Oryctolagus cuniculus: one gene and its partner. The protein of the gene in region 1 interacts with the protein of each later gene in a biochemical or structural test. Links are inferred from orthologs where the notes say so. Each region holds a gene or a part of one and is shown on either strand. Other genes may lie near its edges. The genes, in order: RIGI and RNF125.

Region 1 (4,499 bases):
TTTCCCAGCCCTCTTATACCTTTGCCACCAGCCCAACTCCACAGAAACCACTCCTGTGGGTGGTCCCAAAGGTCTACAATGTCAAAAATCAGGATGCAGGTTCCTGTGGCTGGTGCTGTGAAAAAGCACTTGTGACACTGGCATCTCATATCAGAGCACTGGTAGGAGTCCTGATCGCTCTGCCTCGGATCCAGCTCTCTGCTAACACACCAAGCAAAGCAGTGGAAGAAGGCCCGAGTACTTGGGCCCCCTGGCAACAACATTAGAGACTGGGACAGAGTTTTGGGCTCCTGGCTTCAACTGGGTCAGCCCCAGTAGAGGCAGCCATTTGGGGATTCAACCAGCAGATGGAAGATCTAGGATATGCTACTTGCTCTCTGTCACTTTGCCTTTCACATAAATAATTTTTTTTTTTTTTAAAGGTTTCTGGGGCCAGCACTGTGGCACAGCAGGCTAAAGCCCTGGCCTGAAGCACCAGCATCCCATACGGCACTGGTTCTAGTCCACCTACTCCTCTTTGATCCAGCTCTCTGCTATGGCCTGGGATAGCAGTAGACGGCCCAAGTCCTTGGGCCCCTGCACTCGCATGGGAGGCCCAGAGGAAGCTCCTGGCTTTGGATTGGCGCAGCTCTGGTCATTGCTGCCATCTGGGGAGTGAATCAGTAGATGGAAGGCCTCTCTGTCTCTACCTCTCTCTGTAACTGTCTTTCAAATAAATAGAATAAATCTTTAAAAAAATAAAAATAAAAAAGGTTTCTTTACTTCTAATAGTGTTTGTGGTATTTAAGATTTATTTGAGGAGTCGGCACGGTGGCACACTAGGTTAATCCTCCGCCTGTGGCGCAGGCATCCCATATGGGTGCTGAGTTCTAGTCCCGGTTGCTCATCTTCCAGTCCAGCTCTCTGCTGTGGCCCAGGAAGGCAGTGGAGGATGGCCCAAGTGCTTGGGCCCCTGCACCCACATGGGAGACCAGGAGGAAGCACCTGGCTCCTGGCTTCAGGTCGACGTAGCTCTGGCCATGGCAGCCATTTGGGGAATGAACCAACAGAAGGAAGACCTTTCTCTCTGTCTCTCTCTCTCACTGTAACTCTGTCAAATAAATAAAAATCTTTTACAAAAAAAAAAAAAAAAATTGAAAGTCAGTTACTTAGAAAAGGAGAGGCAGAGAGTCAGTCTGTCTTCCATCCGCTGGTTCACTCCCCACTTGACCACAATGGCCAGAGCTGTGCCAATCCAAAGCCAGGAGCTTCTTCCAGGTCTCCCACACTCGTGCAGGGACTTAAGTACTTGGGCCATCTTCTGCTGCTTTCCCAGGCCATAGCAAAGAGCTAGATTGGAAGTGCAGCAGCCAGGACACGAACCGGTGCTCATATGGGATGTCGGCACTGCAGGTGGCAGCTTTACCTGATCCACCACAGCACCAGCCCCAGAGCTTTTGTTCTCATAGTTACCAACCATTATCTGCCATTATGATTCTGCCTTGGTTTTTCCTGATGCCTTTTTGTCCACGTATCTGGCTGCTCTTTTCCAGTTTCTTTTCTAGCTCTTTCTCCCTCTGTTCATCTCGTAAATGACAGGCTCTCAACAACCCGTCCCAGGGTCTTTCTACTAAACTTCCAATGTGCCATCTTGCCTCTCTCACTGTTCCAGCAAGGATCTATGAAGGACTCCCCAGATTTGGACTTCTGATTCTGTGTGCCTTAGATACATCCAGGAAGCCATGTTCAGCAGATCACTGAATGGGGAGGTCTGGAACTCAGGACAAAGATCCAGGCTTGGGGGGCCCTGCAGGTAGAGATTGTGCTGCAACAGGGGAGAGTGGGTGAGACTGCACACTAGAAGGGTTTCATCCAGGGATTTCTAAAGAGGCGTGGCCTCACATTGTGTAGGAGCCCACACCTCTCTCAGGGCAGAACCAGAAAGTGAAAGTGCACTTTCCTTAGTGGCATTCTTTTGCTGCTCACTCCACAAGGTGAGTTTGGTTTAACAGAGCAATAAACACCCAAGGTACCTGCCTGGGAGTTTCACTGCAGTTACCAAAAGCTGATTAGCATTTCAGGAGTGGCATTAAGGCACCTGGAATTGCTAGGTCCTGTCTTCCACCTGGAGTCCTTGCAAACACCACCTACCTCTGTCTCCCCAAGTGTGAATACCTCTGCCAATGTCCAGCACAAAGCAATTCGCTACTCACTACCCGAAACACCTGTCCTAAAGCCTGAACATAAAGCCTGAACATTCAGTCTGGGGAAAGTCAAGCTCCTCTCAACCTTTCCATCGTTTGCAAGCACAAATGAGACCTCGCAGAGGAGGCACCACCTTGCCTGGATTTTGGACAGCGTTGTGTACCACAGTATTGTATCCTCACCCTTCACTCCCCACCTGGCAAACCCCTGGACTGGAGAGCATACTAAGGAAGGGGCTGTATCTTATTTCTCAATCTCCAATTCCAGGACAAAGGCAGGCACCTAGCCAACTCAAAGGTTAGAGGAAATAAATGAAAAGGACAGTTTCTTTCCCCAGCTTTGAACCTTAAAAAAAAAAAAAAAAAAAGTGCACCCTAAGCGAGTCACTTCACCACGCTGGTTCTCAATGTCCCTACCTGGGTTTCCTAGTGCACCTCAAACCCTGAACCAATAGTGTTTCTGAAGGTTGGTTACCTCCACCGATTTAAAAAGGAAAACAGCAAGGGGAAAACAAGTCCTCAGTTTTTCCTTGCCCCCAAGGGGCGGGCAGGCGCCGCTGGGCATCCACTCACCCTCCCCAAGCCAGGAGTTCATGTAGCTCAGGATGTGGGTAGGGTCCAGAATCCTCTTGACATAGTCGCTGAAGGCTTGCAGGTTCCTCCGCTCCTCGGCGGTCATGCTGGCCTCGTTGCCCGGTGAGATCCACCCCACCCGGCTGCTGCCCGACTCCCTTTAAAGCTGGGCTGGAGGAGGCGGGCACGCCAAGCGGGGAGGGGAGGGATTTTCCAAGAAATCAACCGCGGCTGAGAGGCGGAGCTGCCTGGGAACTTACAACTGGAGGAAAAATCGAAACTGCAACTCGCTGCAGCCGCAGGAGGGCGGGGCCGGCCCTGGCCGAGCGCTTCCCCCAGTTCTGCAAGTTTCTCTTTCCTGTTCACCCGAGGTGGGGGGTGGGGAACCGAGGAGGACAACCCTCCCCCACCTCCAAGCCCCGGGAAGCTTTTACAGCGGTAAAGTATAAAGAGAGCAAAATGCGCACAATTGAAGGGTGCGATTCGCTAAGTTCTGAAAAATGCATACAGGTTTAACCACCTTCCCCAGATCAGTTGGGCCCCACGGTGAGGGTATCATTCACCTTTTTGGAAGCTGTCACCTGTTGTCCAAAATGGCCACGCCAGTTTCCATTCGCACCCTTAGCAGATGCGGGCTCCAGTGCATGGATAGCCAGCAGATGCACACATAGGTCAGTCTTTTTTTTTTTTTCTTTTTAATTTATTCATTTGGCTTCCATCTTGGTCTGTATGAAATGATACATTATTGTGGCCTTAATTTTGATTTCTCATATAATTAATGATGTTGGACACATCTGTATGTGCTTTCTGACCTTTCATATAACCCTGCATTTGAAACTTCTGCCTAATTTTGGAATGTTTTAAAATAGACTTACACAGCGCCCTGCATTGTGACATAGGAGGGTAAGAGCCCCTGCCTGTGACCCTGGCGTCCCAGACACCCATTCCAGTCCTGGCTGCTCCACTTCGGACCCAGCTCTCCGCTAATGTGCTAGAAAGCAGTGAAGGATGGCCCAAGTGCTTGGGCCCCTGCACCTACGTGGGAGACCAGGAGGAAGCTTCTGGCTCCTGGCTTTGGTCTAACCCTGCCCTGATGGTTGCAGCAATTTGGGGAGTGAACCAATGGGTAGAAGATACCCCCCCTCAGTAACGCTGACTTTCAAATAAATAAATATTTAAGATACATAGCCTTACAAGAGTGATTATTCTATATACAAAATTGTCAAATATAGGTATTCAAAATATTTTCCCAGTCTGTCATCTAGCCTTTTGTTTACACACACACACACACACACACACACACAATTTTATTTGAGAGGCAGAGAGATAAAGAAAACTTCTATCCCCTGGTCCATTCCCCAAATGCCTGAGCGCTGATTCCAGCTCTCCTATGTGGGTAGTAGGGACCTAACTACTTGAGCCTACTTCCAGGGTTCATTTTAGCCAGGGCTCTAACTCAGGCCCTCGGATATGGGATAGAGGCATCCAAAGCAGCATCTTAATCATCACCCCAAACACACCTACCCCTTTCCACTTTATTTATGGTGTCTTTTGATGAGTGCTTTTTACCAGTTTTCTCCTCTATTCATTTCTTTTTGTGTTCCCTTTAATAAATCTATGCCCACCCCAAGGTCATTAACATACTGTTTTCTTTTACTTTTTCTCTTTTACTTTTAAGTCTGTGATATCTCAATTAATCTTGTTGTGATGTGTCATAAGGGACCAGGTTCATTTTTTTCCATA
Region 2 (4,506 bases), on another chromosome or scaffold:
GAATGACTGAAGGAAATGGAAACCATGTTTTGAGCCTTTATTATGGCCTGTTTGTACATTTTAAATGCTCATAAAAATTGCATTATTCACCCCATTTTACAAATGAAGAACTGAGATTCAAAAAGATTTAGCAACTTGGTGGCCACACAGCTGGCTAGTGGCAGAGTTAAATATCAAATCCAGCCCTCTGTAATACTCAGTTTTTGTTGCATCACAAGATGATTTACAAAGTGCTATAGGTGTATTAATTCAAGGTATTGTTCTTATTATTGTGTTTCACTTGAAATAGGTGTATAAACAGAAATCAGCATAAACAACTAGTTCAACAAGTTTAGAAATCTAGTTTCATTATGGAGTAATAAAATAGAAGGGTTTCAGTTGCATTTCTTCATTTTCCAGCTTCAGTTCAATGGAAAGGAGTAATTCATTTAGAATATACAAATGGTGTCAACACTCCCAACCCCCAGTGCAAAATGGACTCTGGTTAACATTTATAAAGTGGAAGGGGCCCAAGTACGTTGCCAAAAGGAGGCATATGGAAATTCTGCCCACAGCAGAACAATGGACATAGATTTGTCAAAACAAAGAACAGTAAAGTGAGGGAAGGCAGTTTGTCCAGCCCTTGTTAGGCTATTTTACAACTATTTTCCAGTTGCTTGTTTCCTATTCATTGTAACAAAGAAAAAGATTAAACCGAAAAGTTAACATTTTGCAAAGGCATATTATCCTTTAGTAGAAGCAAAAACATTCTAAACCGAAAGTTAAGTATTCAAATGCAAGCCCCGAAAAACAATTTTCAATCTGTTCATTACAGCACCAAAGCTGCCCATTCCAATTCTACAACAGGACTCTTCAAGACTCAATGCCCACTATTCAACTTTGGCAAAACTTTAAAGTTTTCAGGCTAATAAAGATCAAATTTAAGTGTACCCATCCTGAGGTTATTACTGCCCTGAACTAATCAATGTATTTTATCCCATTACACAACAGCATTTTGGCTTCCATCTTGACTTTGGGTCATTGAGTGACATCTGACAAGCTAGGAAACATCAGTCATTAGAATGGAGGCAAATTTAAGCCTTGCGTGTAAGGGCAAATTTGAAACAGCAGGCCCTGTAAATACAGCCACAGAATAGTGTCCAGAGCACTCTTCACTTAAACATGTGTGGGCTGCGCATTTTTCTCCCTTGCTCACTGATGGGCATTGGAGAAAACTGCGCCTCACCAGTACTAAGCTGAGGGTGTCAAGGCCCCTGTAGGCCGGCTTAGAAACGTTTTGTGCACTTTCGTTTATAATATGGTACTTCTTTTATCCTGCTAAGCCAAAAGCCTACAGACGCCACTGTGGCATCGCCCTGGGGCTCCACCATAGTACAGTTGGTCCACCGTCCAGAGAAGGCATTAAACGTGCATCCTGCTCCTGATTCACGCACACACACATGTCCAGCCACACACTGCGTCGACGTAGCCACAAAAATAAAGTTAACAGAGAACACAAACTCATGTTGCCAGTTCTCGCCTCCAGTTACTCCAGCTCACATTAAGGAGGTGCCCATTTTATAGACTTTTAAAGCTTTCCTAGAAACCACCATGGCTTTGCACTGCCAGTGAGTTTTAAATAGCGCCTGATTTTTAAGCAACCCTTAACCAACATTTTCTATCGCTTTAGGTAGTCAGAGACCTCCTGTCGCTGTTGTGCCTTAAACTGCTTCATTCACGGGCTTGCGACTGTAACGTTCAAGCCCCGAGGCCCACCCCAGCAGGTTGTTAAACGCTAATGACCACAGAAAGTCCCTGGGACGCTCCAGTTGCACGTGAGGACCTTTGTGAGGCCCGGGTGTCTGTGCTGGGAAAAGGATGCGGGGGTGGGGGTGGAAGCACAGTTTGCACAGATCCTTGTTTGCTCCAGAAAGGAGCCCCTGCAGGCGTCTAGAGCACGTGCGCAGCTCCAGCAAAACAAAACCGGCCCGGGGTTCTGGGGGAGACGGCAGCACAGCCCCGCCTGACCGAGTTCAGCAGGATGCGTGTGCTTGGCCCGAGCCCACCTTCTCGTCGCCCGGCTCTCGCCTCCTTTCGGTGCCCGAGCGGGTGCCGTTTCTCCAACCAAGGCCCTGACTGTCGGCGAGTCCCACGCCTGGATGCCCATCCTTGGAGTTCCGCACCTGTGCTTCGGGAGCGAGGCAGCTCTAGCAGGCTGCAGGGTTCCTACTGGGCGTGTTCCCCGAGACCCGCAACGGATGGGTCCAGGTTTCTCCATGAAGCAGTTTCCTAAAGCGCTGGTTTCTTTTACAAGCCCCCCACCCCCAAGCCCTCGGCTCCCCAACAGCTCCCTCCCCAAGTACTGGGCGCGCACACCCAGCTTCCCTGGCACTCACACGTGGCCACAGCGAGTCCGGACAGGCTGGTGCAACACCTCAAGGCACACCGAGCAGTCGAAGGACGTGACGGGCAACTCCGGGTCCCCCTTGCGTTCCAAGGCCCGAGGGGTGGCAGAGGAGGGCGCAGACTTGCCGCTGTCACTGCTCAGCACGGAGCCCATCGCTGCGCCTCTCGCCCAGGCAGCCGCCGAGAGCTCAGTGCCTGCAGGCGGTTGTTTGTTGTCCTGCGGTGGAGGAAGGAAGTCCCAGCCCAGCTGTGATCGCCGCCTCCCAGCGCGCTCAGCTAGCGCAGCCCAGCAACAGCCTTCGCTGCTTCGCCTAACCTCGGTCTGGGGCAGGCTGAGTGCGCGGCCGCCGTTCTGCAATGCTCGCTCGGGAGTTGCCTGGGTTGGCGCGCGGAGGCGGAGGCAGCAGCGGCGCGGTACACGCTGCAAGGTCTCGCGGGCCTGAGAGAATTGAAACCTGAAACCTCAACTGCAGAACAGAGGACCTGGGCAGGCAGTGAACCTTCCAGGCGATCACACACAGCCTCCTTCTGCACTACGCCTAGTTCAGGGAAGTACTGGCCTGGTCTTGCTCCGCCTGGTTGCCAGTCATGTCAGTCCTCCGCGTTGTAACTGTAGTAAGCTATAAAAATGACCTGTGTCCAGCTGAGAGTCTCCTGAGACACTGCTAATTGCTGCTTAGGTCGTCTAATCAGTGTATCTTCCATTAATGCAGAAGCAGTGGAAAGGGTTCTGCAGGCCCGGATTTAAATCTTGACCCTGTTGAGTGCTCCCTGCATGCCAGAATCTGGTGATGAGGGCATGGTTTTCCATAAACCCACAAAATCCCAGTTCCACAGAATTTAGTACCAAAAAAATCTTTTGAGATAATTACAAGTTCGAATGCAGTTGCAAGGAATAATGCATAATGATATATAATAAACACACGTGGTGTATATGCTTAAAATGCAAAATAATATGTGTAACACATGGTAATGCCATAAGCTTCATGCACGTTCCCCCAGACTACTTTAAATGAGACAATATGGGTAATCAACAAATAAATAAATGAACAAGATCACTTCAGGTGGTAAGAGCCCTGAAGATAAAACAGGGAGGACTAGGAAAGGCAAAAAGGCCTGAGAAGACTTTTTGGCGGAAGCGATATTTGAGCAGAGTAGTGAATCATGAAAAGCAGTCGCCCTTCAACAATTTAGGAAGAAGTTTGGTGAGCAGTAAGAGCAACAAGTGAAGCAGGAACTGAGAACACAAAGAGGTGTGGAGCTGGAGCTCGCCCGCAGGAGAAACAGAGAGGCAACCATTCCTCTCTTTAAAACAGAGAGAAAAACCTCTCCATCCATCCTTCTTGTTCTTCAGCTCCTGCCCTACATCCTCCTCAAAGTCAAATCTCTCCATCAGATTCTCCCTTATGGCTGGCTCCATTCAAAAATTATTCATGCCTTATCCAGTTCATTCTGGGTTCTGAACCGACCACTCCACCTCCATCTTTCCTCAAAGGATGCCATCATCATTGTCGCTGGTGACTTCCATGTGGCTAATTCCAACACATTCTTTTCAGTCCTTTTCTTACTGTCCTTTCAACTCTGTCAGCCTTCGCCACTCTCTCCTCCTGGACACGCTCTGGCTTGCCATCTCTCTTTCTCGTGGTTCATTCTTAGCCTCCTCTCCCTGGCTATGTCGTGAGATTCTGTCTTAGGAGATTTTCTTCTCACATCTCTTTACACAGCACACCACTTCCATTAACAGAATGCAAAGGATCAGATATCTTTCTTGTAGCTATTTTTTTTTTTTTTTTTTGACAGGCAGAGTGGACAGTGAGAGAGAGAGACAGAGAGAAAGGTCTTCCTTTGCCGTTGGTTCACCCTCCAATGGCTGCCGCGGCTGGCGCACTGCGGCCGGCGCACCGCGCTGATCCGAAGGCAGGAGCCAGGTGCTTCTCCTGGTCTCCCATGGGGTGCAGGGCCCAAGCACTTGGGCCATCCTCCACTGCCTTCCCGGGCCACAGCAGAGAGCTGGCCTGGAAGAGGGGCAACCGGGACAGAATCCGGTGCCCCAACCGGGATTAGAACCCAGTGTGCTGGCGCCGGAAGGCAGAGGATTAGCCTAGTGAGCCACGGTGCTGG

The links.
Region 2: of the proteins of RIGI (region 1) and RNF125, one has a biochemical effect on the other in vitro, tested with the Homo sapiens proteins (3 studies listed by BioGRID and IntAct, with this or other methods). The link is inferred for Oryctolagus cuniculus from reciprocal best matches to the Homo sapiens genes RIGI and RNF125.

The regions. Positions count from the first base shown.
Region 1 is NC_091432.1:195,900,681-195,905,179, forward strand, and holds the start of RIGI (antiviral innate immune response receptor RIG-I), read right to left. Parts: upstream 3,100-4,499; 5' UTR 2,863-3,099; coding exon 2,757-2,862; intron 1-2,756.
Region 2 is NC_091441.1:45,620,401-45,624,906, forward strand, and holds the start of RNF125 (E3 ubiquitin-protein ligase RNF125), read right to left. Parts: upstream 3,009-4,506; 5' UTR 2,540-3,008; coding exon 2,376-2,539; intron 1-2,375. UniProt on the Homo sapiens protein: E3 ubiquitin-protein ligase that mediates ubiquitination and subsequent proteasomal degradation of target proteins, such as RIGI, MAVS/IPS1, IFIH1/MDA5, JAK1 and p53/TP53.